Canis lupus familiaris: one gene and its partners. The protein of the gene in region 4 interacts with the protein of the main gene of each other region in a pairwise test. Links are inferred from orthologs where the notes say so. Each region holds a gene or a part of one and is shown on either strand. Other genes may lie near its edges.

Evidence for each region.
Region 1: the proteins of TXLNB (region 4) and CT55 interact in binary tests that used the Homo sapiens proteins (3 or more experiments, as listed by UniProt). The two-hybrid records come from large-scale screens. The link is inferred for Canis lupus familiaris from reciprocal best matches to the Homo sapiens genes TXLNB and CT55.
Region 2: the proteins of TXLNB (region 4) and CEP63 interact in binary tests that used the Homo sapiens proteins (3 or more experiments, as listed by UniProt). The two-hybrid records come from large-scale screens. The link is inferred for Canis lupus familiaris from reciprocal best matches to the Homo sapiens genes TXLNB and CEP63.
Region 3: the proteins of TXLNB (region 4) and CEP57L1 interact in binary tests that used the Homo sapiens proteins (3 or more experiments, as listed by UniProt). The two-hybrid records come from large-scale screens. The link is inferred for Canis lupus familiaris from reciprocal best matches to the Homo sapiens genes TXLNB and CEP57L1.
Region 5: the proteins of TXLNB (region 4) and LURAP1 interact in binary tests that used the Homo sapiens proteins (3 or more experiments, as listed by UniProt). The two-hybrid records come from large-scale screens. The link is inferred for Canis lupus familiaris from reciprocal best matches to the Homo sapiens genes TXLNB and LURAP1.
Region 6: the proteins of TXLNB (region 4) and EXOC5 interact in binary tests that used the Homo sapiens proteins (3 or more experiments, as listed by UniProt). The two-hybrid records come from large-scale screens. The link is inferred for Canis lupus familiaris from reciprocal best matches to the Homo sapiens genes TXLNB and EXOC5.
Region 7: the proteins of TXLNB (region 4) and NMI interact in binary tests that used the Homo sapiens proteins (3 or more experiments, as listed by UniProt). The two-hybrid records come from large-scale screens. The link is inferred for Canis lupus familiaris from reciprocal best matches to the Homo sapiens genes TXLNB and NMI.

Annotation. Positions count from the first base shown.
Region 1 is NC_049260.1:106,945,753-106,949,933, forward strand, and holds the start of CT55 (cancer/testis antigen 55), read right to left. Parts: upstream 2,801-4,181; 5' UTR 2,604-2,800; coding exon 2,504-2,603; intron 1-2,503. UniProt on the Homo sapiens protein: Plays a role in spermatogenesis, possibly acting in the regulation of the autophagy pathway.
Region 2 is NC_049244.1:31,766,936-31,771,117, reverse strand, and holds the start of CEP63 (centrosomal protein of 63 kDa), read right to left. Parts: upstream 2,801-4,182; 5' UTR 2,793-2,800; coding exon 2,659-2,792; intron 2,430-2,658; exon of another isoform or gene 2,355-2,429; intron 2,321-2,354; exon of another isoform or gene 2,194-2,320; intron 1-2,193. UniProt on the Homo sapiens protein: Required for normal spindle assembly.
Region 3 is NC_049233.1:66,409,365-66,413,543, reverse strand, and holds the start of CEP57L1 (centrosomal protein CEP57L1), read right to left. Parts: upstream 2,801-4,179; 5' UTR 2,668-2,800; intron 1-2,667. UniProt on the Homo sapiens protein: Centrosomal protein which may be required for microtubule attachment to centrosomes.
Region 4 is NC_049222.1:31,692,715-31,696,806, forward strand, and holds the start of TXLNB (beta-taxilin), read right to left. Parts: upstream 2,801-4,092; 5' UTR 2,645-2,800; intron 160-2,644; 5' UTR 146-159; coding exon 1-145. UniProt on the Homo sapiens protein: Promotes motor nerve regeneration. May be involved in intracellular vesicle traffic.
Region 5 is NC_049236.1:14,262,365-14,266,605, reverse strand, and holds the start of LURAP1 (leucine rich adaptor protein 1), read left to right. Parts: upstream 1-1,441; 5' UTR 1,442-1,551; coding exon 1,552-1,749; intron 1,750-4,241. UniProt on the Homo sapiens protein: Acts as an activator of the canonical NF-kappa-B pathway and drive the production of pro-inflammatory cytokines. Promotes the antigen (Ag)-presenting and priming function of dendritic cells via the canonical NF-kappa-B pathway.
Region 6 is NC_049229.1:33,150,853-33,155,055, forward strand, and holds the start of EXOC5 (exocyst complex component 5), read right to left. Parts: upstream 2,801-4,203; 5' UTR 2,566-2,800; coding exon 2,539-2,565; intron 1-2,538. UniProt on the Homo sapiens protein: Component of the exocyst complex involved in the docking of exocytic vesicles with fusion sites on the plasma membrane.
Region 7 is NC_049240.1:54,265,781-54,269,850, forward strand, and holds the start of NMI (N-myc-interactor), read right to left. Parts: upstream 2,801-4,070; 5' UTR 2,572-2,800; intron 1-2,571. UniProt on the Homo sapiens protein: Acts as a signaling pathway regulator involved in innate immune system response.

The DNA of each region.
Region 1 (4,181 bases), on a different chromosome or scaffold from region 4:
GCCCTACCGTGGGAAGATATGGGAGACGATGATCTAAGTCTAGAAACAAATTGGGCTTGCTCTGAGACACAGATGATAATGACTGAGGAGCATAGGGATTGTTTGGGAAGCAGAGTGCTCATGCTGAAAGGCTGATCCCACCATTTCTCTGCGAGGCCCAGTGGCCAAGTGCCCTTGGTAGTGGGACTTGTAGTAGGTGCTGAGTCTGGAACCAGACTGCCTAGCTGTGAACACAGCTCCTCCCTTTACCATCTCTGTAACCCTGGGCACATTTCTTAACCTCCCTGAATCTGTTTCCATCTGGAAAACCAGGGCATTACTAATGTCTGCCTAGGAGAGTAGATCTTATAAGCTCTCCACACACACACACACACACACACACACACACAGGGTAACTATATAAGGTGTGGATGTGTTAATGAATCTTATTGTGCAATCATTTCACAATATATAGGTAACAAGTTGTCATGCATACCTTATATGCAAATTATGTCTCAATAAAGCAGGGGAGAAAGGGTTGTTACAGTTATTAACTGACACATACATGTCAACTGCTTAAAATTGAATGCCTCCCACAGGTTAGAGCTTACACATTAGTTGTCATGGTTTCTGCATCTAGAGAGTCTTTAAACAGCCATTATTGTTATAGAATTTTATCATCAACAAAAGCGGCAGCAGCAGCACCTGGAGATTATTGAAACATCTCACCGAACAAAGCACACAAAGAGATCTGGGGGTTTAAATCTAGCCCAAATGTGGATCCAAAACACTCAGGTTTACTTATTTATTTATTTCATGAACAAACACAGCTAATAAGCCATAATTTGATATCTGAACCTAGAGAATAAGCCCACAGGGCCCACTATGAACCACAACGCCTTAGGTGCCATGCCAAAGTGAGGCTGGGAGAAACATTGCTTACAATTTGATTTCAGAAGCCAAGAAGATCCTGAAAACTTTTTTTTTAAAGATTTTATTTATTTATTCATGAGAGACACACAGAGAGGCAGAGACACAGGCAGAGGGAGAAGCAGGCTCCACGCAGGGAGCCCGATGTGGGACTTGATCCCGGGTCTCCAGGATCACGCCCTGGGCCAAAGGCAGATGCTCAACCACTGAGCCACCCAGGCATCCCCTGAAAACTTTTTTTTAAAGGATTTTATTTGAGGAGGGCTTAGAAAATTAAAAAATAAAGATTTTATTTATTTGAGAGAGAGCACCCAAGAGAGGGGGTGGGTGGAGCAGAGGGAGAGGGAGAAGCAGACTCCCCCCTCCAGTAGGGAGCCCGAGGTGGTGCTCAATCCCTGGACCCAAGACCCGAACCAAAGGCAGACGCTTAACCCAACAGAGCCCCATAGGAGCCTCTTCTAAACTATTTTAAAAATGGGTCAAATTTGTCAAGTGAAATCACAAAACATATGGAAATGGAAGGTACAAGGGTGACAACTGCCACCTAGGCTCATGAAAATAAATCAGAAACTCTTCTGCATCGTCCCATTGGCAAAAATATGGCTACCGGCTAAGGGATGCAGCGGCAGCGCTTCCCGCTCAAGCTCGGCAGCAGCCCTCCTTGGCCCACTGGGCCGAGAATCCGCCAACTCTGCAGGGCTCACACTCCTCCGGCAGAGGAGCTGCAGGCCCAGTCAGGCACCAGGAAGGCTGGGGCCCTGCTGGGAGGACTGCATCCACCAGAGATGACCCTTTCCAGAATCGGGCCCAGAGCCCGCCCTGCACTCATTCTGGGGAAGGAGGCCCCCCAGAGGCGGGACCGGGGCACACCCAGCAGGGAATGGCTGCTTGGCCTCCGGGTCTGGGTAACACCAGCCGGGTGCCGGCTCTCCCCTGGTTGTGTCTCCCTGACCCGGCTGTAAAGTGAACGTGACAATACTCCCCGCTCCCTGTGGGGGTCTTCCAGCCTTGAGCCCAGGGCTTAGTCCAGACAAATGCTCGGCTCATGAGAGGAACACTTCAGAACAGGACCACCATCCACCTCAGCACACCCTCTCAGTTTTCATGGGGACTCACCGACACCCTGATGCCTGTCCCGGGCCTCCTGAGTCTCCCCCTCAGTGCCAGACCCTGGACTGTGTCAGGATACAAAGGTGAGCAAGTTAACCCGTGGCCCCCAGCCTCCTACCAGCGACTTGACCACTTGGATTCAAATATACGCATGTTTGGGAAACGAGATCAAATGCACCCTCAAATCAGAGAGATCCACTACTACTGGAAATATGAAAAGGAATCTGTTGTACATACCATACACACAATGTAAGTTTCAAAGGCATGGGGCCGGGAGGTAATGCAAGGGTGGTGCATAGTTCCCCAGGGGCCTTCCCTGTTTACACCACCGTCACTTTGGGCAGGATGGTTCCGGGCATGCTCAGGGACTCAGGGACCCCTCTCCCCACAAGGAGGCGCTGGCATGGCTATGTGGCGCCCTTCTGAGCCCCGGAAGTTCTGAACTAGGTGCTGGCCCGTGGGAGGGAGAAGACAAATTAAATACCTTCCAATTCCAAGAGCCTCATATGCTGCTCCCTCTCTGCCTCTGACGAGTCTATCTTCCTCCGGAAGACGGCAAGAGCCCTGGAAATCAGCCGAAGCATGGTCCCGTTGCTAGGGCAGCCTGCGGCCCCCAAACACAGCACCAAGCCTGCTTCTGTCCACGTCTCTGCCACCCAGCCGCACTCTGACCCCAGCAGCCCCTCAGACCACACGCTGGTTCCTCCGCACCGCGGGACGTCTAGTCAGGTGCCTTCATGAGCTTTGGCTCAGGCTACCACGCGAAGGGCCTTAACATGCCCCAGCCCATCATCCAGCCAATGAGGACCCAGTGCGCTTAGTGCCAGCCACTCAGAGGCTGAGAGCTGATGGGCGGGACTTCATGGGCTCCTCCCACCAAGGCAAGGGCGGAAATGCGGTGACCCACCAGAAATCACTTCCAGTGAGACCTCGTTTTGCACCTCTTAGAGTAGAGGTGGGCTCTACTCTGTGGTCTCTGTGGGCTTCTAAGGGAGGGCCTGATGCCTGTTTGAAGGTGGCACAGCAACTTGTCCCCAGGTTGGAAGCATGCCCCCAGGCGTGCAGCCTCTACCCCTCACGGAGTGAATTATTTTCTCTTCCTTTGCCTCTGAGTGCCCTCCACGGCCACACAACCACCACCAGCCCCACCTCCTCACCCCTACACTCACTCCTCAGGGAGACTTGGTGGTCAGCTCTAAGCAACGGCTTTCTGTTCAGTGTTAAATGAAACCACAGATCCTGTGGAAAAGGCCTAACTTGCACGTCTACAAGGGTCTCAAAATGTAGCCTGTGTCTTGCTCTTGGAAGGGAGCCAACGGTGCCAAAGCACTCACTATGGTGCCGAGAGCCACACTGAAGTACGATCTGGAAATGAGGATGATTAGATGAGGAGGGCGAGGAGATGTGGCACGAAGCAGAGTTCGGATTGCGTCCCTATTCTTTTCTTCTGGGTAGCACGCAGACATCACATTTAAAATATTAAATGGAAAAAAAAGAATATTAAATATTTTAATAGCAAAATGAGTTTATTTGGAAATAGGAGACCAACTGCAATTCAGGACACGTGAACTATGGCGAACTGTAAGCAAATACAGAGTACAACGAAAAGCTTTCTTTTTGTCCTAGCAGACAGGAAGTTGCCATGGGTGGTTTTCAAGGAAAGTTATTGGAGGAGAGTGAGAATCAAGGTTGTGATGGCCTCTCATTGTCTGGGTTGTGGCAGTTTCTCATTGGCTGGGCTGTTGCTGAGCCAGGAGGAAATCTTCCTTCCTGTTGGGGGCTGCAAAGGCTGTTTAAGAGTGGTGGTGTGTGAGAGCTCTCCTTTTAGAGCTCCCTGCTCCATATTAAATACGGTTGCCTTCAATAATTTTCACATATCCCTCTTTTGATCAAGATGCCCCAGTGGCTTATGGGTTTAGCTCCGCCTTCTGCCTGGGGCATGATGTTAGAGACCCAGGATTTTTTTTTTAAGGTGCAGGTATTTTTTTTTCTTTTTTTAATTGGAGTTCAATTAGCCAACATATATCATAACACCCAGTGCTCATCCCAAGTGCCCCCCTCAGCGCCCATCACCCAGTCACCCCACCCCACCCCCGCCCACCTCCCCTTCCACGACCCCTTGTTCATTTCCCAGAGTTAGGTGTCTCTCCTGTTTGTCACCC
Region 2 (4,182 bases), on a different chromosome or scaffold from region 4:
TTAAGAGAGAGACAACTCAGACATTTCATACCTCTCTGATAATGCAATAGATTGTCTACTGTACCACCTGGAAAATCGTCTTGACCCCCCCCCCACACACACACACACACAAAATTAAAGTTAAATCTGATCTTCTAGATCAGTGCTATTCAACAGAACTTTCTGCAATTATTGAAAAATTTTACTTCTGCACCATTCAAAGGGTAGCCACCAGGCACTTGTGACCACTGGGCACTTGAAATGTGGCTAATGAAGCCAGGGAACTGAATTTTTAGTTTTATATCATGGTAATATTTAATAGCTACAGCTGGCTGGTGGCTACTATAGTGGACAGTGCAATTCTAGATCTAACTACTGGTTTAAAGGGAAAAGATGTACATGTTAAAAGGATGTCATGCAGATGCAATCAGCTAAATCTAGAATATTAAGGGGGACAAGGGACACAAGGGAACCGCTCTATTTAAAAAGATTTAATCGATGTATCAACCAATGCAACATGTGAATCTCTATGGGATTTTGCTTCAAAAGAGCTAATTGTAAAAAGTCACTTAAGGGACACTTGGGGAAATCTAAACCCAGACTGAATATCGACATCATGGAATTTTTATAAATTTTTGTAAGTGTGATGACAGGACTATGGTTTTGTAAAGCTGAAAAAGCAAATTTAGCTGCGGGTACCCTAACATAAAAATTTAGCTGCGGGTACCCTAACATAAAAATAAATTAAATCCTTGCAATCCCTGTTCATGTTGGCTTCAGATGAATTTCAAATCAAGTTGACTTTTTTTTTTAAGTAGGGAACTCTGATAGAGTGGTTTACTGATCTTGTCACAGCTGGCCACCACTGCAACGTTAAATGAGAAAAGGAAGGACAAAGCAAAGATCTTCTACCTTCTAATGCGAGGAATATGGCACAGTACACTTAACATACACATTTATTACAAATAATTTTTAAAACCTGAACCTACATGCACTGAAGGGCAGTGTGAATGTCTAAATGTTTAGGAGTCTGTAACCCAAGAGAATTTCACTTCTACTATACTGATCACTGAGAACGGTGTAGCCAGAGGGGCAAGAAGCTGATGACAAACTAAAGGCGGTACTGTATTTCAAGTAAGAAAATACAGAAGCTTATTATATGATTACGCTACAGCTATAATACGTGTAAATGTGAATATGTAGATGTTACATGTAGTTGATGGTCCTTACTAGGGCTTCCTCTTCGCCTCTATAAAATAAAATAAAACGGAATGCAAGCAGTTAGGGAACTTCTGTATTACCGTAGTGTACCTACACTATAATACTTCTTTATTAAGTGTGAAATTATTTAAGGAATCGGATGAAAGGCTCAAGGAAAACTACTCTCTGCAAATAAGGCTACTCTAACTACAAATCAAGACTAGTCAATGACCTTGGACTCGTTTTTACTCTGAGGCTGGTAAGGAACGTTAAGGAAGACAGTATGCGCCCTAGGCTTAGGGCCCTCAAGTATCTTCACGATTAAAGTGCTCCTAAGGGGGGATCCCTGGGTGGCTCAGCAGTTCAGCGCCTGCCTGTGGCCCAGGGCCTGATCCTGGACACCCGGGATCGAGCCCCACGTCGGGCTCCCTGCATGGAGCCTGCTTCTCCCTCTGCCTGTGTCTCTGCCTTTCTATGTCTATCATGAATGAATAAATAAGTAGAATCTTAAAAAAAAAAAAATTTTTTTTTTTAAAGTGCCCCTAAGGGGCAGCCTGGGTGGCTCATCGGTTCAGCGCCTGCCTTTGACCCAGGGCGTGATCCTGGGGACCCGGGATCGAGGCCCACCTCGGGCTCCCTGCATGGAGCCTGCTTCTCCCGCTGCTTGTGTCCCTGCCTGTCTCTCGTGAATAAATAAATAAAATCTTTTAAATAAATAAATAAATAAATAAAGTGCTCCTAAGGAACTGTCCCTTTTAAGCCCTGGATCATTTCTTTCGCGCCCCTGATGTCAGACGATCGGTGAACTCAGGGTTTCCCAACTTCTTCAGTCCTTCACGATTCCTGCATTTCCGTACCTCTTGGACGAACATTATTAACTCACTTTTTAAAAACTGCTAAAAAAAATTTTTTTTTTAAATAAAAATAAAAACTGCTCGTGCCCCCCGCCCCGCCCCCAGGCGAATCGGCCCCAGTGCCGCCAAGGCTAAGCCGCAACAACGCTGGGAAGCTAACCAGATCTGGCAGCCTAGGCGGGAGGGCTGTGCCGGGGGTCCCTCCTCTGCAAAGGAAGAGCGGCCCGCAGCCGGCTCCGCCGCGGAAGACGAGGCCTGGGCGGCAGCTCGCCCCCCCCGCCGCCCTCCCGCCGGCCCGGCCTCGGGGGAGGGGCTGACCACCTGGCTGGCCCGGACGGCGCGCCGCCAAAGGCCACGTCCGCCTTCGCGGCTCCGCAGGGCACACGCGGCGAGGCCGACGGGCGGGGCGCCGCAGCGGAGCCGGGCCGGCGAGGGCGGGCCCGGGGGCCAGCGGGCGGCGGCGGACGCCAGCCCCGGGCCGTACGGCCGGGCAGCCCGCGGCGCCGCCGCAGCCAGGGCTGCCTCCGGACCGGGACACGCCCGCCCCTCGCCCGTCCACCGGGCGCACATGCGGTTACTGGGCCGCTGCGCACGCGCGCGCGCCCCCGAGCCTTCCCGCCGTTACCTCCGGCCGGGGGCGCGCACGCGCGTCACCGCCGACCCCGACGTCCGGCCTCCGCCGTCCGCACGTTCGTTCCGCCCACTGCCCCCTCGCTTCTTCCTCGGAGCAGCGTCCTCCCAGGACGCCCCTCCGCGCATGCAAATGGGCTCACCCACATCACATCCGGGGATCGGAGCGCAGGACCGCGCGGGTCACGTGATCCTCAGAGGCGCGGGGTGGGGGGTGGAAGTTCCGGTGGAAGCGGGTGCGGCGCTGAGTCCGGTGCGGGTAAGGCTTTCCCGCGCCCCTAGTCCCGGTTTTGGAGGGACGAGGACGCGTTGGTTCCTCAGCGGCGCCTCTCCCCGCTCCCGTCAGTGGAGGCCGATGTCTTCACTTCATCTTCACAACCACTGTCCCCACCGCTCGCCCTGGAGGGTGGAAAGGCACTCGCGTGGCGGCTCCGGGCCTCCCCCGCTTCCACACTTGGTATCTCCAGCCGGAAGTGGGGACCGGGGCGGCCCCCTGCTTGCGGACGGCTGGTGGTGGCCCGCGAGGGTCATTTCTAGCGCGGGGGAAGGCGGGCCCGCTTAGTTCGCGTTAACCGCCGGCTTGCGGATCTGCAAAGCACAGAAACCGGATGACACCACGGGTCTGGGAAAGTGTGACGAGCTCCGCGTTGGGACCACTCGCTGTGTCCAGGGAACTGAGGGACCCCAGGAGGGACGAGGACCGCGCCCCGCCTGGGTCTAGGAACCGCCCTCCTGCGGGAGATGACCCGGGAGCCAAGTCTTGTAGACTGATGGGGGGCGGGGGGTGGCTGGAAACATTGTACGGAGCACCTGCTCCGGAGGCCCCGGGCTGTCACGTGCGTAAGAGAAGGTTCGTTAGGGAAGGTAGTAGTGTCTCATTCTGTCGAGTGTGGCACGTGCTCGGGACAGTGGCCGTGTCCCGGACGTTGCCGGTCTTTTTTTTTTTTTTTTTTTAATTTATTTATTGGAGTTCAATTTGCCAACATATAGCATAACACCCAGTGCTCACCCTGCCAAGTGCCCCCCTCAGTGCCCGTCACCCAGTCACCCCCCACCCCCCTGCCCTCCTCCCCTTCCACCACCCCTAGTTCGTTTCCCAGAGTTAGGAGTCTCTCATGTTCTGTCTCCCTTTCTGGTGTTTCCCACTCATTTTTTCTCCTTTCCCCTTTATTCCCTTTCACTAATTTTTATATTCCCCAAATGAATGAGACCATACAATAAATGATTGTCCTTCTCCGATTGACTTATTCACTCAGCATAATACCCTCCAGTTCCATCCACGTCGAAGCAAATGGTGGGTATTTGTCGTCTCTAATGGCTGAGGAATATTCCATTGTATACATAAACCACAGCTTCTTGATCCATTCATCTTTCGTGGACACCGAGGCTCCTTCCACAGGCTGGCTATTGTGGACATTGCTGCTAGAAACATCGGGGTGCAGGTGTCCCGGCGTTTCACTGCATCTGAATCTTTGGGGTCTTGATCGTTTCCATTCTTCAGCCCCTGAAGATTCAGTGA
Region 3 (4,179 bases), on a different chromosome or scaffold from region 4:
ATTATATATTTATTGTTGATCTCTCCCTAATAGAATGTAAGCTCAATGAGAGTAGGAACTTTTGTACAGGTGACCTTCGAACAACGTGGGGGGTTAGAGGTGCCAACTCCCCACCAGGAAGTAAAAAAAAAAAATCCCACAACTTTTAATCCATAGAACTTTTGACTCCCCCCAAACTTAACTACTAGAAGCCTACTGTTGACTAGAAGCCTTGCAGATAACATAAGCAACACATACTCTGTATACATATTATATACAGTATTCTTAAAATAAGTAAGCTAGAAAAAAGAAAATGCTATTACAAAAGCCATAAGGAAGATAGATTTACACTAGTGTACTGTATTTATCAAAAAACAATCCATTTGTAAGCAGACCTGTGCAGTTCAAATCCATGTTGTTCAAGTGTCAATGTATATTGTGCTCAATGACATATGTACTTGTCCCATTACATAGCACTCAACAGATATGTTGGAAATTTGAAATTAGGTGGAAATAGGAAAACCAGCGACTAAAGAAAGATCTGTATGGCTGAAGTAGCGAGAGGTGGAGAGTGGTAGATACACGAAGTGAGGCTGCAGTGGTGGAAAGAGACCAGAGGCTATTAGGCTTTTTACAAACAAGTTTTGCCTTAAGAATAGTGAGACAGCAATGAATGATTTTAAGAGAAGTCTGGCCAGGACGTGCATTTCAAAAAGTTCAGTATGGCTCCAGTGTGGAGAACTAATGGAGAAAGGCCAGAGTGAACAATCACTATGACAATGGTCTTGGCAACAGATTACGGCAGTTTGGAAAAGGCTGTGCTTACGTAGATCATGGGTACAGCTGGATGGAGCTATACGTCTACAAGTCACAGGTGGCAGTGGAACCATGTGTATGGATGGGAGCAGACTCAACTATGCAGGCAAAAGGGGATCTAGATTTAAGAAACTACGCTATGCATTGGACAAGGAGGAGGAGCCCCAAAAAAGGACAAAAAAGGAATGTCTTTTTAAATTTTTTGAAATCATACTCACAAGTTCACATTTTTTTTTTTTTAAATCAGATTTAAACCAAGTAGCATAAAAGTAGCAAGGCCTTTTCAAATCAGACTAATTCATTTAAACTGTCAAATCTGTCCAAGGTCAGGTCACTCTCAGAAACCATCCGGAAAATTCACAGGGCTGGTCTCTTTGCGGCTTCAAAGTAGATCAACACACAGGAAGTTACCCTTCCCAAAATAGAGGGGATTTTGGCTTATTGCAGTTTCCTGAAAGTACTGTCTCTCTCTCTCCCTTCTGAGCCTCACCATAGGCTTCTTCCGGTCTTCTTTCCCTGGGATGAAGAATTTCCCTGACTTTCCAGGATTAAGCCAAGAGACCCTCTTTCTAGACGTCCCAGATAGCCAGCTACCATACTGTGTACTGTAATTGTGTATTTTACTACCAGATGCCATCACTGGAGAGGGGGCTGCGGCTTTTCCCCCTGTTGCATACTCAGCACCTCACAAGGAGAAATTTCTAAAATTCAAAAACGGAATTTAAATTTAAAACTTAAGTACGCTGTTTAAAATAACTTATTTGACTTTACTATTATCATTATAATTTAAAATTTAACTAAGTTATCTAAAATAACTTATTTGACTTTACTATTATCATTATCATTTTTTTTTTTTTTTAGTTTCTATTTAAGTGGCCTCTACACCCAACACGGGGCTCGAACTCCCCACCCGGGGAACTGAGCCGCCCCGGCCCCTCCACGGCTCCACTGGTGTAATAAACGCCATCCATCCCACCATGCGGAGAATTAAAATCTCATTGACGAACCGGACGGCCCTTCACACCTTGACTTTTCTCCAGAGGTACGACTTTTTTACAAACAAACATGAACCTTTTATGCAAATGAATCCTTTAAAATAAAAAATAAAATAAATTAAAATAAATAAATAAATAATTTAAAATAAAAATAAAATAAAATAAAATAAAATAAAATAAAATAAAATAAATAAAAAATAAAATCGGGCAGCCCGGGTGGCTCAGTGGTTTAGCGCTGCCTGCAGCCCAGGGCGTGACCCTGGAGACCCAGGATCGAGTCCCGCATCCGGCTCCCTGCATGGAGCCTGCTTCTCTGTCTGTCTCTCATGATTAAGTAAATAAAATCTTAAAAAAAACAAACAAACATACTAAATCTTGGGAGATTTTTTTTTTTTTTAAATAGCATCACCTAAGGGGGGGGGGGGGGGAAGGCTGCAAACGTTCCCATCCAGGGATGCTGGGGTTTCTTCTTTTCCCCTTAGTCTCTCGTGCAAAATGAATCTGACAACTGGCTTCTGCTCGGGATCTCCTTTGGGCGCAGAAAACACACAACATCCCCCGCGCAAAGGCGGACGCCAGGGCCAGCGCACGGGGTCACCTAAGGCCGCCCTCGCGGGTCCCCCCGGCAGAGGTGCGAGCGGAGGCCGCGCGCGGGGCAGCCGTTCCCGCCGCATCCCTTCCTCGCGCCCCAACGCGCCCTCCGCCCGGGGCGCCCGCGCTACTCCTTCCCAGACACACCGGACAAAACCCCCTGGACTTAAGAGGCCATCTTCTAGATGCCTCGATCTCCAAAATCCCTGAGGAAACGAAGGAAAAAAAAAAAAAAAGCCTCAATTGGCAGCCGAAACCCCCCAGCGCTCCCCAAATCGACGCTTACCAAGCTCCGTCCGCGCTAACCGTTGGCTCGAAGGCCGCCACGGGCAACGTCGCAGGGGCTCCTGGGGACTGTAGTTTCTATCGCCCGCAGAACGCGCCGGTACATCAAAACTACACTTCCCAGAAGCCAATGCGACGACGCCCCCTCCCCCCCCATCCCACCCCCACCCCTGCCTTCTTCAATCTCGGATTTGGCGTAATAAAGACACCGTCACTCTTTCCAAGCTGATCTTAAGTGAGGATGCGGTTTCCTCCAGGTGTGTGTCTAAGCCCTCTTGGCCGTGCTCGGCCTCTCTCCGTAATAGCTTCATTGTACTTGTACTTCTTAACTTTTCTTTCCCCGGCTCCGAGCCGGGAGAATCCGTACGTCACGGGACGGAAACGCCCCCGACGCAAAAAAAAAAAAAAAAAAAAAAAGTCCGTTCGGCGCATGCGCTCTGTTCGCCATCACGCATGCGTAGCAGCCGGTTGCAGTTGGCGGCCGGGCGCGGACTTGGGGTCCGGAGGTAGCCCGTCGGAGGGCGGGGCTCTTTCCAATGGCTTTGCCTCCGCGGGTCGCGTCTGCTTGGGCGGGGAAGAGGGCGCTGGGGCAGGGGCGGCTCCTGGTTTATGCCGGGCGGAGAAAGGGGAGGGGCTGCAGGGGGGTGAGGACCCCCATCTCCCCTCCCTCCTCCCGCCCTCTGGGCCGAGCCCCACCGATGGGGCTGGGCGAAGGGGCGGGCTCTGCGCCTGGGGCCTCGCTTGTGCGCCAGCTCGGCGGCCCGGCCCTGCGCGGGTCCGGCTTAGCGGGCGGTGGGCGAGGACGCAGGTAGAGGAAAAGAAGTGGCGTCTGCCCGGGGTTCCGGCGTCGCCGGGGCCGGGGCCGCTTTCCTCCAACGCTGCAACCGAGGCAGCGGCTGCAGAGGCTGCCCCGCCCTGCACCCTGCACCCTGCACCCCGCACCCTCCCCCCTCCAAGGAGCGCCCGGGTCTCCGACCCCGGCGGCCGGCGAGCAAGGAGGGCTTGGCGAGGCTTCCCCGGCAGCTGCCGGCCGGCCGCCGAGGCGGAGGGCGGAGCTGCGGAGGGCAGGGCCTGGCGCCGGAGGAGGGGCGGGGTGGGAATGCTCCCGGGAGCTCGGTGGCCGCCCGGACGAGAATCCCCGAATGGCTGGGGGCGCCTTCCACTGCGAGCGGCCTTCCTGGGCAGAGCTGGGATTTGACAGCTGCACGACGTGAGGATATCCGCTGACCCCGCGAGGCGGAGGAGCGCACTTCCCCGAGGCGGCCTGTCCGGCCAAGCCAGCGCTGCAGGGTTTCAGCTTTCCAACTTTTTTTGTGCGTGTGTCTCTGCCAAGAGGACTGCCCTGCCCCTTCGTGTAGGAGAGAAGGGTGAGTTGTGCCCCGCGTCGGTCCAAAAAGACGCTTCGTGGTTCCAGATGTCACCGAGGCCGCTGTGTTTTCACGGCGACTCGATGTCCCCGGTTTTCTTCTTCTCACGTGCCTCGTTTTAAAAGTGACCAAGTGCTCGTGGGGAC
Region 4 (4,092 bases):
CTATCCCTTCTGGTGCTTGGAGTGAGGTTGAGGAATCCTTATCATCTTGCTTCTCCAAGCCATTTTGACTGGGTAATGATGAACTGTCTCCTGGAGGTGTTGACTGGGGTTCCCCTGAGAGCTGCACAGAATGATTCATCTCCATACTGGGAGATGTATCTAGTGATAAGCATAGTCAGGTTTTATATAGTTAACCAAGTTACACATAAAATGTAAGGATATCCCCCAAAGGGCACCTATTAATTATGGCTTCTAACATAGAATGAATGTACTTTTGCAAACCATTGATATTGCAATTAGTTATGTAAAAACAGTGGGAAGCCATTTTTCCAAAGCAAGTCATACTGTGAACATATTTTTGGTTTTGGTCTTTAAATTCCAGTAGAAATTTCTATGATTGACATTAATGGAGTAATTCAAGATATTGTTTTTCATGTTATATTTGTCATATTGCTTAAGCCAATTTGGTTATCGCTCTCTTACTTTATTCTATGTAGACTTACAGTCATTGGAAGTACATGGATGGATGGCTGTATTTAAAATGTTTAAAATGCTGTTATTTTTTTCAAAGTTAAAACATTTAATATAAGAGCCACTGAACTTACTAAAATCATTCATAACAACAGCAGTCCTAATCCTAGTCTATTTTTTTAATTTTTATTTATTTATGATAGTTACAGAGAGAGAGAGAGAGAGGCAGAGACACAGGCAGAGGGAGAAGCAGGCTCCATGCACCAGGAGCCCGACGTGGGATTTGATCCCGGGTCTCCAGGATCGCGCCCTGGGCCAAAGGCAGGCGCCAAACTGCTGTGCCACCCAGGGATCCCTCCAATCCTAGTCTATTTTAATCCATAAGTGAAGACTTGATAAATATGAATACATTGATAAAAATGAATAATAAATAAATAAATAAATAAATAAATGAATACTACATACAGGAAATACTTTGTTGCTTTTCTGGTGTTTTCCTTTCCTCAAATGAGCAACACTTAATCATCTATCAGCAAAACACGTTTTCTGAGGTTCAAACTAGCTCCATTTTTGGATAAAATGAAGAATGAAGGAAGGTACAAATTAACCAAAAGCTAGTATGGAACCATGGTGATGGTCATAATAATAATTTCTTGAATTTTATTAATATTTTCGTGTTCCAATATAAAAACTGACTTTCTTTAAGAAAAAAAAAAAAACACAGATTACAACTCTTTTTTTTTCTCAGTCAAGAAGCTCTAGGCTAACTTCATAATTTAATTTTTAAGAAATAGCACTGTTTAATGAATAGGGAGGGGATAAACTTGGGAAATAATCCACATATAATGTGGGCTCTTTGGAAAGAGGGGCTGAAGTACAAGGTGAGTCAAAGAATTTTAGGAATTCTGGCCATCTTCATTTCTAGGGTTGCAATAGAGTTGACCTTGGAGTTATGGTGCCTTTTATTTGTTAATGGTATTTAATGGGGATGCTGCTAATGAACGACACAAAAATATGACAAGTTTCTCATAATGCACAGGTTTTGCTGTTGTGGTAGCTCGAGAAGAAAACCAAAAACATACTGTTCCATGCACTGCACAGCTTCCTCCTCTCATTCTCAGGGCAGGGGATCTCAAGTGCTTGAACCCCAACAAGAACGGAAAATCCAGCCTACAGCCATTGCCACCCACTTACGGCCTTCATCAAGTGCTCATTAACTTGGAAGGAAGTACTTTTTTCTCCTACCTACTTTAATTCACCAGCTTTATCATCAAAAGATGCAGTAAACAGCCTCATTGTTTTCACCACTGGTATTTCTTTATCCTGACCCCAACTTGTTGGGCACACTCGTCTATATATAACTTACGCCTCCCCTAAACTCTGAGAAAGATACATGGCACCTGCTGTCCAGCCAGAAGTTATTTTAAGCTCTTCTAAAAGGAGCCATGGCATTTAGCACTTCTTTGAAAATTAAGGGAAGAGAATCCTTTTAAAATCAAAACTAAAAGCAGTAAACATTTACTGGCTTAAATACATATGTGGGTTTTAAAGTGTTAGGGAGTCTTCTTAGTATGAAATAAAATCTAAAGTAAACCCCAACTTCAAAGCAATGAATTTAACACTGACTGCTCACAAGAGTTTTAGTATGGTTAGTCTAAATGCAAAAGTTGACTTGTATTTGATTTATTCTTCATTCCTCAGAGGCCACAGTCCTTGATGTTTTTAATATTAATTCCATGGATATCCTTTAAACTCATTGCCCACATTTACTTTAATACAGAATAACTGAGTCATTGTAAACCACAAGACAACTCAATTCCTAAAAGTAGCCTCAAGATAAATCACCAAGAGGGAGAAAATTAAAGTCAGAGAACTCTGCTACTTTAAATGATTCCTTTCCATATTAATTAATTGACAGCAAGAAATTATTTCTAAATTTTATCTTCTTAATAAACTTTATTGCCTTTTTTCTCTCCTCAGAATTTTTCACTTGTACTGGGTAGTCCAGCAAATTATCACACACATCCCTTCCTGAGCAACACATTTCAATTATAAATAAAACAATGGAAAGTTCTTCAGAGTTCACTGGCAATCTCAAAGTTGCAAGTTTCGAACACCACAAACCGCACCCTACAGCTTCTCACGGGGTTCGGGGAGCGATTGTCGCACTTACCAGAAGACAGGGAGCTAAGCAGAAAGGAGAGGCAAGAGGCAGCAAGAAGCTAGTCAGAGGAGCGGTGACAGCAGGGGACAGGCAGCTGTGTTCTTACAAGGGAGAGAGAGAAACCACACACACACACACACACACACACACACACACACACACACACACAGGCGCCAGGGCGGCAGGAGAGCAGGGAGGGGGTGGGGAAGGAAAGGAACCGTGTATGACACAGCAAGAGAGAGGTACACCCAAGTTTCAGTAGCTGTCTTCTAGGCAAAGGTCTGAGGAAAGAGAAACAGCTGGTAGATCTTATCAGACTCCATGTTTTGTCCTTTTAAAAATCTAAATGCTCACTATATATAGCCCCTCGGTGCAATTTTTCATCGTTGTTCTTTTGGGCAGAGGTCATATTTTCTTATTCCTTAGTTTATTTCCAGTGCAATCTGTGATTCATTTTTTTCCCCTTCTTATGCTAGTCCAATTAGTGTCAGGTTTCTTATAGGAATCATGGGGGGAAAACCCAGTGGCTTAACAATAGGGAGGTGGTGGGAAAACTCCTCTAATTCTGATGTTATTGGTTTGTTGTAAAACTCGAAATACGAATGGAGGTGGCTCTCTTGGCACTGGGCTTAGTGGCATCTTCATGGACACGGTAATTGGCCTAACTGGCCTCAGATCCCACGTCTGAAGCATGTCACCACCTTCACGTCTCAGATAAGCCCTTGGGGAGGCAGTCGCTTTTTCTTCCTAAGTTGGAGGCTTTTCCACCAGCTGCTTTCCCAAATTTGTCCACCCTTTTTATGTCTTCAACTTGTTCCTTAATCCTTGTCAGAAAAAGAACCTTCTCTTGATTCACTGTAAAACGGCCTCTTTCTCTTACCTTACATCGGTGCCCTTTCCTTTCTGTTTCTAGAGAACATGTTCTCACACTTTTCCGAGGTAGGCTCCTCCATCAGAGTTGCTGCTCTTGGGACTGGCTGGGCATAATGACACCGGCTGTGGTATGCAGAATAGTGCCACCAGAGAGATGTCCACATCCAAATTTCAGGAACCAGTAGTATGTTACTTTACATGTTGAAAGAGACTTGGCATGTGTGATTAAATTAAGGGTCTTGAGATGGGGAGATTATCCAGAATTATTTGGGTGGGCCCAATGTAATCGCAAGGGTCCTTAAAAATAAATAAGGGTCTGAGTCGGAGGGTTAGAGTCAGAAAATGACTTCAAAAGAGGTCAGAGTAATGTGTCAAAACTAAAATAATCTGTTCCCAAATGTTTTCTCATACCTTTCTCTAAGTTTAGGAGAGGCATAAGGTATGTACAGATAAGGGTTCCCAACAAGTAGAGGTCAGGATAAAGAATCCCAGTCATAAAGACAATAGGCCTTTTACTGCATCATTTGATGATAAAGTTGGTGAACTAAAGTGGGTGAGAGAAAAAAGAACTTCTTTCTAAATTA
Region 5 (4,241 bases), on a different chromosome or scaffold from region 4:
GGGGAAATACAGAGTATAAGTGAGATAAATCATATTGATTGTATTAGGAAGTTGGTAGACAATATTTAAAATTAAGAAATAGTAGTACTGTATAAGCGTATGTGGGGTTATGTGTATAAACACCAGGAAAAAAAAAGCTGAATGTTGTTGCCTCTGGGAGTGGGGCTAGAGGTGGGAAAGGAAAGAGCTGGTTAACTATCTTTGCATTGTAAATCCTTCTGTGACCATGCGCTGGAATTACTTGGATTAAACACCCAAATCAAGCCAAAACAAAAAAGTTTTTTGTGGTTCCCCATGGCCTATAAAATACAACCCAAGCACCATAGAACCATCTTCTATAGCCACATTACTCCAAGTGTGGTCCCTCGATCAGCAACATGGCCGTCACCTAGGAGCTTATTAGAAAAGAAGAACCGCAGGCCCCATCCCAGATCTACAGAATCACAATCTGCATTTTAACAAGGCTTGCAGAAAATTCAAATGCAGTCAAGCTTAAGAAGCATCAGTCTAAAAAAAAAAGGCATCAGTCTACAGGATCAAGCATGATCTGGCCGATCTGGACTTTTTTATCTTCAATACTAGTTGCTTCTCATTGGCCAGAAGTGTTATTTTCTACTTCTTTAATCTAAACTCAGTGGCAGGGCACCCAGCTGGCTTAGTCAGAAGAGCATGTAACTCTTGGTCTCTGGGTCTGCGTTCCAACTCTACATTGGGCATAGAGATTACATTTTTTTTTTAAGATTTTATTTATTTATTTATTTGAGAGAGGGAGAGAGATTTTATTTATTTATTTATTTGAGAGAGGGAGAGGGAGAAGCAGACTCCCTCCTGAGCAGGGAGCCTGATGCAGGGTTCCTTCCATCCCTGGACCCTGGGATCATGACCTGAGCTGAAGGCAGACACTTAACCCACGGAGCTACCCAGGTGCCCTAGAGATTACTTTAGATTAAATGAATAAATAAACTTAAAAAAAATAAATTCCGTGGCTACACTGAAAGTGCATGTGGGTGTCAGTAGCTAGCTAGATTCTAACCACTGTTCTAGACCCAACCCTCCCAACCCTCCCACCCCACCCCAGGAAGCCTTTCAAAACCCTCTGCAGTTCTGGGTCACCACTGTTCCTTAAACTCCCCTATGGCTGAGGGTGCTTAGGCTTTGTTCAGCAAACACTTATCGAACGCCTGCTGTATGCCTGCTGTATGCCGGGCCGGATTCAGTCGGCAGAATGGGGAGAAGGCACTGAACTCTGCTAGCGCTCCTTCAAGTACAAATCCAAGTACATACAGATCGCCCAGCCCCACCCATTCCAGGGCCAGACGTGTGCGCGCAGCACTCGAACACACACACGCACAGGCACAGACACGCACGCACGCCGGCACAGTCTGCGCGGCTTTTCTGAGAGTTACGGTGCCCTCCGCCCGCCCCCGCGCGGCGCGGGCGGGGACCCACCCGTTCCGCTGGGCGCCGGCAGCCGGGAGTCGAGGACCCCCGCGACCCAGCCCCAGCCGGCCGGCCGGCCGGCCGCCCGGTCCTCTTCAGCCGTAGGCCCGCATGGAGGGGACTGCGGAGTCCCAGACGCCTGACCTGCGAGATGTGGAGGGCAAGGTGGGCAGGAAGACCCCCGAAGGGCTGCTCCGCGGGCTGCGAGGCGAAGGGGAGCCGGGAACCTCTGGCGCCCCGCTGCTCCCGGGGGCGCCTGGCGCGGGCCACGGCCTGGGGGACAAGATCATGGCGCTGAGGATGGAGCTGGTGAGTGTGGGCTGCGGGGGCCGGGGCCGGAGTCCCCAGCCGGGTTGGAAGGGACAGACTTATGCCCCCAGAGTTGGGCTGGAGAGGCGAGAGTTAAGACTCCTTACCTAACTCCTCGGGATCCCTCCCAGATCAATCCTTAAACCCCGGGGTTCATTAATTGCCCCTCCCAAAGGTGAGTGGGGCGTTGATGGGTCCTGAAGACTTGAGGTGGGAGGCACTGGCTCCTGGAAGTTTTTCCTACCAAATAATTGGGAGGGGAGAGGTGAGGCTGGGAAGCACTGAGAACCTAGCAGAGCCCAAATCTCTCCCCTCCCCACCCCACCCCTCCACCAGGGGCCATCTCTCCCCTGGCCTCCATTATGGGGCAACCAGTTTCTTCTTTTGGTGCAAACTGGGCCCAGAGTTTGCTCATCTGAGGCCTCAGTGTTCATGACAAGATTCAGCTTGGAAGAGATCTGGGTGAAAACTGCCTGGACTAGAGCCACAAAAAAAACATCCTCCCTTTCCCCAAACCCCCCTCCCCAACCCCCACTTAAAGTACTTGGAAGTTCCTAGAACCCCGGGCATCAGAGTAATAGCACCATCAGCATTGGCTTCATCGCCTCTGAGCCCCCCAGGTATACTGGATTTTTGTATCTCGTACCTTCTTGGGGAGAAGAGAAGGAAACAGGCACCCTCCCCCTCCTTTGTTGCTGCTAGTCTAGATTCAGAGCCAGAAGGGCATTTGGGGCTGCCCAGGCTCCCCAAGGCCCTGGTTCCAGTGAAGGGGGTAATTTACACCTGCCACCACTCTGCAGCCAGTTCTGGGGAACTGAAGAATTCTCTCTGGCTCAGAACCAGGAGGCCACAGTGAGTGTGTCAGCTAATAGGTCTTTCTGGAGCCCACCATCTGCCTAGCTGGGCTGTGAGAGAGCAGAGGAGGGCATGGGGGCTCTTAGGCTGAGACCGGAGCCTTCTGAGCAGAGCAATCAGGGAAGGCTCCTTGGGGGAAGGATTTAAATGCCAAGTGTGTGCTTGGCCCTGAAGGTTGGAGGTAAATACCAAATTCTTCAGAGCAGGCCTGTGACTGCCCACCTGAGGGAGGGGCTTGACTTTGCTTCATCGTATAAAGTGGTGCCAGGCATCATGCTGAGCACTTGACAAAATATTCTCTTACTCCTCACAGCAACCCTATTAGGCAAGTGATATTTTATAGATAAAGAAACTGAGGCACCGAGAGGTTAAGTAACTGCCCAAGGTCGTACAAAAAGTAAAAAGCAGAGCCAGCCTTTGAACTCAGACCATCTGCCTGCACTTTACATCTTTACCATTGAGATCTGCTTTGTGCCACTTTAAAGACTTTAAAGACGCTTTATGTCATTGAAGTGGGAAAAGCAGTCATCGTTCCCCCATCGCGTAGATGAGGCAGGCTTGCCGGTGTTAAGGGGCTCGCCTGGCCTCACACAGGGAACCAGTGGAGGAGCCCTGCCTCTTCTTTGGTTCTGATTCTTTTGCCTTTGATGGAGATTACCTGTCTGTAAACTTTAAAGGGGGTACATTTAACTTCTGATTAGGTCTCTGCATTCTCGACCTAGCCTGGCCTGGGACTCTAGGCTGCCCATGAAGGAGGGGGCCTGCTGGGGGCCAGAACAGGGAAAGGCTCCCTCCCTTATTCCTTTCTCCTTCCTTGGCCAAGATGTCATTGATGTCATTGTGTACTCAGCCCTGCCCACTGTGGGGGCTGGGCAGAGGGTTTCAGTGGCAGAACTGTTCCAAGCTCTCTGAACACAGTCCTTCCAACTGTCCCTCTCCCAGCAATCATGCAGGGAGTGGGCAGTCATGCTCCTAAGGCCAAGGTTATTCCTGCCTCTAGGCTCCTTTTCCTCTTGCTTCCCTCCCCCTCTCCCAGGTTCAGTGAACCAGCCAGACTCTGGGGTTGGTGGGAAGGGAAACAATGGCAACCTCCCCTACTTAATCCTCCTACTCAAACAACTGTTGCTGCGACAACCCACCCTCACAGGGCAACCTGAAAAAAAGCTTTAGGCAAGGAGGGGGATGTCCTGGGTTCAAGTCCTGACTCAGCTTCTGAATTATTTAGAGGTCTTTTTTTTTTTTTTTTTTTTAATTTATTTATGATAGTCACACACAGAGAGAGAGGCAGAGACACAGGCAGAGGGAGAAGCAGGCTCCATGCACCGGAGCCCGACGTGGGATTCAATCCCAGGTCTCCAGGATCGCGCCCTGGGCCAAAGGCAGGCACCAAACCGCTGCGCCACCCAGGGTTCCCCATTTTGAGGTCTTGAGTAGAGCCCTGACTTTCTGTTGATCTCAGTTTTCCTGATTCTTGGAGGATGAAGGGACAGGGGCTTGTGGGACCAGATAGTCCTAGTAACGTTAGTCTGAGAATCTCAATCCTTGGCCAGGGAGCTGAGCCTGGAATCTCCTGGCTTTACCCCAGGGCCTGATTTGGATTGAGCAAGGAGGAAGCCATACTCGTGACCCTGGGACTG
Region 6 (4,203 bases), on a different chromosome or scaffold from region 4:
TGGTCAATCTCCGGGATATATACGATTAAAATAACTGCATCATCTGTTATTAAATCATTTCTGCCAAATGAAGAAATATCTTGGAGTTTGATTTTGTTGTATGAGTGTGTTTACATTATAAAAGGAAGTCTCATAGATTCAACAATAAGATTTTTAAAGAAATAGATTTAACAGTTATGAAACTTCATGGACTCAAAGCATAATTTTGTATTAATTTAACCTCTTCTTCCATGTGGAAATGAAAGCAGAATTCAACTCAGCAGTGCATTAAAATCAGGATGTATAAACACAAAATATCCTGAGTACATCCTGACCTCTGTTTCCTACAGTTCTCCAGCTGTGACTAAAAAAGGGAAGAGAAAAAGACACTTCCTGACATGTCCTACAATCTGGATCCTATGGTAGTAGCAACAGGAAATGGCAGCGATGACTGAATGAAGTTATGTTTTTTGTTTTCCTCCTCACTCTAAAGCAAAGAGACCCAACTTTTCACTTAGGGATGAAAACTTATCCAAGAATAGTCCTGTAGGCTGAAAAGATAATTACATTTCTTAATTGTAACTATTTACATTTAATTGTAACTTTTATTGTAATATGCTTTTAATTTTGATGAAGCTACAAAAAAGGTCACATGAATTAGGATCTATAAGCATGTTTAAGGCTACCCTATGAACCCTTTGGCCACAGGACTAGTATGCCTATGCCATCACTGATCAGTTAAGTGAGTATTTCCAGCTATACATAACGAGTCACTCAGGTTAAACCCTAATATGGTTCACCTACTTCACTAAATAGTGTAACACTAGAAAGCAAATATATATATGTGTGTGTGTGTGTATATATATATTTCTCAAGAAATATATTTGTTTGCATTTTTCTATCTCTTCCTTTTTATCCTAGGGGTAAGGAGAGCAGAAATCATATATATTTTCAATTAAATTAGGTGACTCGTGGCCAAACATTAAAGAAAAAAAGACATAATATGCTTGGAGACACAAGGGGAATGTCAAGCAGGATTTATTAAGTCACAAGTTAATGCCTTGGGAACCATATAAGAAAATGATAGTTTTCTATTAATAGCTGGCCACACATTTCATTTAGTAAATTAAAGATTGCAACTTCATAAACCGGTTTCTACCTTTATAAGATGTGAAAGATAAAACAAGGAACTATAGAACTACTTAGTATCTTGCTCAGGAACACACAGTCACAGCTTTTAACAAAAGAATGTCTCCCTGCTCCTGCATCAATCAATAAACAGATGGCACAATTTTGGAATTAGGCAAGCTAATACAATACACCTCCAACATACCTGAGAACATACAATTAATATTTCCGAATTCTTTCTTGTAATTATAATCCTTCACTTAAAAATTATTATGTATTAGTTGTTATAGCAATAGTATATGAAATTCCTCCCCAAAAAAGCATTATCTACCCAAGAACTGACAGGAACCCAAAATCTAAGTAACAAATGAAAAGTTCCCAATTGTTGCAAAAACCGTGACATTCAAATTTTAAGCCAAAAAACCTGCTGACTCTTAAGCAGAAAAAGAATCCAATTTTCACTTGTGGAGAAATTCTCAGTTGTCAACCGTACTCTTCTCAATTATTACTTAGCCTTTTTGTTACTCAATTTGAAACACAAAAGCACACACAAAAAGGGCCTTTGCTTTCTTTTTCTTCACGTTTCTGTTTTCATTTCTTTCACAAAAAGAGACCCTTCATATTTCATTGTCTGGTGGTCCAAGCAGAATTTTCCTGTTCTATTTATCTCAATCGCCACAGCTTCGTCTTACATGGAATTTCGCTAAGTTAAATTTTAAGTTGGAGAGAGTGAAAAACGCTCAAGGAAAACACATTAGAATGCTCATTGTCTCAGGCGCTAAGGATTCTTTATAGCTTGCAGTGACGTGGGTCTTAAAATGCATTTAAATTCCCGGAGACCCGAACAAAAATGTTAATTAACCAGTTTCACCTCCCCCTTCAGTCTGAAGACTGAAGTAGGCCTTTATTGTCCTAAAAAAAAAAAACAAAACACTTCAGCTTATTTGAATGTAAGGGGAAACTGGCAGGCACCTGAGTGCCACTTGTCACGTTTAGCAAGAAAATGATTTTAATTACTCAATAGTCGTCCCAGTCTCAGGTGGCCCCCTCAGAATATTGCGCGAAGATCCAAGCGACGAGACCGGGGCTCGCCCCACCTGGGGCTGCCGGCTCCTCGCTCCGCGCCCTGAGTCAGCCCTTCCCACTTCTCTCATTCTGAGTCCACCTTCCAACCCCTGAACCTCCGAGGCCCCCCTCCTCCCCGCGGACTCCAGCCTCGGCGCCCTGCCCACCTCCCCACCCGAGTGCCCCCCGCCGCCCCTCCCCCACTTCACGCTCCGCCCGCGCCGCCACCGGAGCCGCCACCGGAGCCGCCACCCCACCCCCCGCCCGCCGCACCTTTCCTCCCCGGGCCGCGGCCGCTCCTCCGCCCGCCCACCTCGCTGCCCGCGCCCGGGGCCTGCCACTCCCCGAAGAGCCGCAGGGTCTCACCTCGAAGAGCTCGGCCGTCGTAGCCATCCCGGCCGGCTGAGAAGCTCGCCTCGCGCTGGAAGCCGTCTCCTCTTCACATGCTGCGCCTCAGCGGCGCCGCGCACAGGTCCCCGCTCGGCTCGTCAGCCCTGGCTCCGGGCCGCCGCGGGCTCCCCGACTCCCCACAGAGCCCAGGCGGGGCGGGAGGGCGGCCATGAAGCGAAGCCGCAGACGCCTGTCAGCTGCCTCCCGGCGCCGCCCGCGCCGCTCCCATTGTCACCGCCTCGTACGCCGGAAGTGGAGCTGCGCGCCCTGTTGGCTGTCGGGAGGGGCCGAGGAGGGAATCCAGCAGCCGGCGAACTGCAGAGAGACTGGTGGCGGGGGCGGGCGAGGAACCCTGACCCTTGCGGGCCACCGTCCCGGAAGTGGGCCTTAGAGGAAGAAAGGACCGGAGTTGCTGAGGAGGAATGCCTCTGGAGATTCTGGGTGAGGATTCACAGGACTTTTGTGGCATGTGTTGACAGGAGGGCCTCGGAGGTTTGAGTCACTTCACCTGAACGAGCCTGCGTCTCTGCTGAGCCCCGCCTGTCTGTGGCGGGCCAGAAGGTGGCACAGCTTGGGTGAGCCTAGGATCTTCCGGTAGGCGCCCGTCTGAGAAAGCCGGCCTGCGCCTTTCCTCCGTGGCCACCTTGGAGAGGAGTTGATGCTTTAGGGGCTTATCATGGCCCAGCGGGCAGTGTGGCTTATAAGCCACGAGCCGGGAGCTCCACTTGGCGGCACCGTCAGATTCTCCAGGTAAAAGCAGTTTGAATTCTCAGGGGTGATGGATCGGATGGGTGTTTGATGCACTGTGGCTTCGGGGGTGTCTTTGTCCGCCACTTTGGGCAAGTTACCTAACCTCTTTCATCTGTTACACGGAGATCTTAGCACTGCTACTTGATAGTGTTGTGAGAATTAAATGAGTTGATGTTTGACACATACTAAGCATCGTGTGCTTTTCAGTGTTAGTATTACTACCTTTTTAAAAATATATGTTTTTTATTTCTTTATTTGACAGAGCGCGAGCACAAGCAGGGGAGGCGGCAGGCAGAGGGCGAGGGAGAATCAGGCGCTCTGCTGAGCAGAGGCCCCCAAGTCGCGGGTCTGGATCCCAGGACCCCGGCTGGGATCATGACCTGAGCGGAAGGCAAAACCCGTAATGGACTGAGCCACCCAGGCGCCTTTAATTAACTCCACCTGCTCAGTAATGGAGGTTAGAGATGACCAAAGGAAGAGAAGGAAACTTACTGCGCACTAAACATGTTTCAAATTTTTATACTTTCGTTAATAAAGATCATTCAAGGACTTTTTTTTTTTTTTAGCTCATTCTTCCAGAAAATTTTTGCTGAGCAGTGAAAGACCCGTCATTTTCGTATTGTGTTTTCATTGTTAGGAACTTCCAGATGGGTTACTTTGAAACTGCTTATTGTTGAAGGAAATCAGAAAAGTACAAAAAACTAAATCGTATTCACTTTTTCTTAGAATGGTGTAAGCTGCTGATCTGGCTCCACTCTTAGAATTTGCCGCAAATTCTTTCAAAATTGTTCTGGGATGAGAATTATAACTCATTATGAAATGCAAGTGGCAGTTCTGTAATCTGTATCACCTTTTATTCTTAGTGGCTATTGACAGTTCTTTCTTGCCAAC
Region 7 (4,070 bases), on a different chromosome or scaffold from region 4:
CCCCGGAGCGCCCCCGTCACCCCGGAGCCCCCCCCCCCGCAGCGCCCCCGTCACCCCCGCAGCCCCTCCCCCCGGCAGCGCCCCCGTCACCCCGGCAGCCCCTCCCGGCCAGCGCCCCCGTCACCCGGCAGCCCTCCCCCCGGCAGCGCCCCCGTCACCTCAGCAGCCCCTCCCCCCCGCAGCGCCCCGTACCCCGGCAGCCCCTCCCCCGGCAGCGCCCCCGTCACCCCCGGCAGCCCCTCCCCCCCGGCAGCGCCCCGTCACCGGCAGCCCCTCCCCGCAGCGCCCCCGTCACCCGGCAGCCCCTCCCCCCGGCAGCGCCCCCGTCACTCAGCAGCCCCTCCCCCCCCGGCAGCGCCCCCGCACCCCGGCAGCCCCCCCCCCCGGCAGCGCCCCGTCACCCCGGCAGCCCCTCCCCGGCAGCGCCCCCGTCACCCCGGCAGCCCCTCCCCCAGCAGGCCCCCGTCACCTCAGCGCCCCTCCCCCGGCAGCGCCCCCGTCACCCGGCAGCCCCTCCCCCGGCAGCGCCCCCGTCACCCCGGCAGCCCCTCCCCACCGCGCCCGCCCTAGCAGCCCTCCCCCGGCAGCGCCCCCGTCACCTCAGCAGCCCCTCCCCCCGGCAGCGCCCCCGTCACCCCGGCAGCCCCTCCCCCGGCAGCGCCCCGTCACCCCGGCACCCCTCCCCGCAGCGCCCCCGTCACCCTCAGCAGCCCCTCCCCCCGCAGCGCCCCCGTCACCCCGGCAGCCCCTCCCCGGCAGCGCCCCGTCACCCCGGCAGCCCCTCCCCCAGCAGCGCCCCGTACCTCAGCGCCCCCCCGGCAGCGCCCCCGTCACCCCGGCAGCCCTCCCCCCCGGCACGCGCCCCCGTCACCCCGGAGCCCCTCCCCCGCAGCGCCCCCCGTACCTCAGCAGCCCCCCCCCCGCAGCGCCCCCGTCACCCCGGCACCCTCCCCCCCGGCAGCGCCCCCGTCACCTCAGCAGCCCCCCCCCCGGCCGCGCCCCCGTCACCCGGCAGCCCCTCCCCCAGCAGCGCCCCCGTCACCCGGAGCCCTCCCCGGCAGCGCCCCCGTCACCTCAGCAGCCCCCCCCCCGGCAGCGCCCCCCGTCACCCCGGCAGCCCCTCCCCGGCAGGCCCCCGTCACCCCGGCAGCCCCTCCCCGGCAGCGCCCCCGTCACCTCAGCAGCCCCCCCCCGGCAGGCCCCGTCACCCGGCAGCCCCTCCCCCAGCAGCGCCCCCGTACCTCACAGCCCCCCCCGGCCGCCCCCGTCACCCGCAGCCCCTCCCCCCCCGGCAGCGCCCCGTCCACCTCAGCAGCCCCCCCCCCCGCAGCGCCCCCGTCACCCCGCAGCCCCCCCCGGCCCAGCGCCCCGTCACCCCGCAGCCCCTCCCCCGGCAGCGCCCCCGTCACCTCAGCAGCCCCTCCCCCCCCGGCAGCGCCCCGTCACCCCGCAGCCCCTCCCCCCCCGGCAGCGCCCCCGTACCTCAGCAGCCCTCCCAGCAGCGCCCCCGTACCCCGGCGCCCTCCCCCGGCAGCGCCCCCGTCACCTCAGCGCCCTCCCCCCCCGGCAGCGCCCCCGTCACCCCGGCAGCCCCTCCCCCGGCAGCGCCCCCGTCACCCCGGCAGCCCCTCCCCCGGCAGCGCCCCCGTCACCTCAGCAGCCCCTCCCCCCCCGGCAGCGCCCCCGTCACCCCGGCAGCCCCTCCCCCCCCCCGGCAGCGCCCCCGTCACCCCGGCAGCCCCTCCCCCGGCAGCGCCCCCCGTCACCCCGGCAGCCCCTCCCCCAGCAGCGCCCCCGTCACCCTCAGCAGCCACTCCCCCCGGCAGCGCCCCCGTTCACCCCGGCAGCCCCTCCCCCGGCAGCGCCCCCGTCACCCCGGCAGCCCCTCCCCCAGCAGCGCCCCCGTCACCCCAGCAGCCCCCCCCCCGGCAGCGCCCCCCCGTCACCCCGGCAGCCCCTCCCCCCCCCGCAGCGCCCCCCGTCACCCCGGCAGCCCCTCCCCCCGGCAGCGCCCCCGTCACCTCAGCAGCCCCCCCCCCGGCAGCGCCCCCGTCACCCCGGCAGCCCCTCCCCCCCCGGCAGCGCCCCCGTCACCTCAGCAAGCCCCCCCCCCGGCAGCGCCCCCGTCACCCCCCGGCAGCCCCCTCCCCCAGCAGCGCCCCCGTCACCCCGGCAGCCCCTCCCCCGGCAGCGCCCCCGTCACCTCAGCAGCCCCCCCCCCCGGCAGCGCCCCCGTCACCCCGGCAGCCCCTCCCCGGCAGCGCCCCCGTCACCCCGGCAGCCCCTCCCCCGGCAGCGCCCCCGTCACCTCAGCAGCCCCCCCCCCCGGCAGCGCCCCCGTCACCCCCGGCAGCCCCTCCCCCAGCAGCGCCCCCGTCACCTCAGCAGCCCCCCCCCCGGCAGCGCCCCCGTCACCCCGGCAGCCCCCTCCCCCCCCGGCAGCGCCCCCGTCACCTCAGCAGCCCCCCCCCCCCGGCAGCGCCCCCGTCACCCCGGCAGCCCCTCCCCCCCCCCCCGGCAGCGCCCCCGTCACCCCGGCAGCCCCTCCCCCCCCGGCAGCGCCCCCGTCACCTCGGCAGCCCCCAGCAGTGTCACCCGCCTGCCCCCAGGGCGTCTGTGCCGCGGGCCGCGGGGACCGGACGGAGCTCCCAGTCGCAGGTGGTGCAGGAGGAAGGCGTGGCCGTAGCCCCCGCAGCCGCCCCCGCAGCTGCCCCGGCGCGCGAGGCCCCAGGGGTCGGAGTCCGGGCCCCCTGCGCGGCCGGGAGGCGACTCGGGCCTTTCCGGGTTCAGGAGGGGCGGGGGCGGGGACGGGAGGGGAGGGGAGGGGAGGGGAGGGGGGCGCCTGCGCACGCGGCCGCCTCGGGCCGCCCGGGGACCCGGCCGCTGCCCCCGCCCCGACGCGCCTCCCCCGCGGCCTCCCCGGGAGCCGGGCCGCCCCGCAGGGCGCCCCCCGCCCCGCCCCGCCCCCGCACCCCCAGCCCAGGGCGCACCCACCTCGGGCGCAGGCGGCGTCCGTCGGGGCGAGCGGCGGGGCCCGGAGGCGGCGGGAACCCCGAGGCGGACGCTCAGGCCGGCTGCCCGCTCGCTCCCCGGGGCGCGCCTCCCGCAGGACTTTCACTTTCGCTTCCCGCGGCCTCGGGGCTCCCCGCGGACGGGCGGCGGCCGGGGACCGGGGCGCTGCGGGCGGGGGCTGCGCGGGGGCGTCGGCGGGACCCCCGGGGGCGGCCCGGAGCCTGCAGCGCCTCCCCGCGGCCCCCGTCCCCCTCCCCCGGGCCTCCCCCTCCCCCGGGCCCCCCTCCGTCCCCCCCTCCCCCCACAGGTCTCCGGGTCTCCGTGAACAAATCTCCGTGAACAAATAGGATCCTGTAAGGACGCGGAGTCCCAGGTCCCAGGAGGGCGCGGCCGGGGAGGCTGGGCCGCAGCAGGTCCGAGGGGCGCCAGGCCGAGCCTTGGCACCAGTGAGAGGCAGGGACCCCAGGGGCCGTGGCTTCTTGTGCAAGAGGCGGCCGTTTTGTTTTCATTTTGAGTGTGTCCAAAAAGTATTCCTGAAGGGTGCACGGGCACCCATTCTAAGGAAAAATCACTCCTTCCTGTGCGCGTGTTACTGGACGTATTGTTGGGAAGGTGGGCAGGAAGGCAGGAAGGCCCGGGGGAGGCGCGTCCGCGGGGCAGCAGGTCCCGGGGCGCTGACCCTCGCCTGCAGGTGCGTAGCCGACAGGTGCAGCCGCCGGGCCCCGAGCCCGGGCCTGAGCCTCCTGCGCCACCTGCGAGCCCCAGGCGGGGAAGGCCGCGCTGTCCCCTTGGCTTCCGCGGCCCGGGAAGGTTCTCTTGCAGCTTTCTGTTGGGAAGCTCGCAAATACATACATACTTCCCTAAGTGTGATCTTTTCCTTTGAAAATGAAAACATCTGGCTCATTTCAAGAACCCAGCGTTTCTTACTGCTCCTCCCAGAAGCACCCACAGCTGCCCTGGCCCCCAGGTAGCGGTCGGGCGGCAGGTGCATCCCCGGGACGTCGGGGCACCCAGCCCGGGAGACAGTGCTGCGGCCACACGGTACTGAGCGCAGCGGG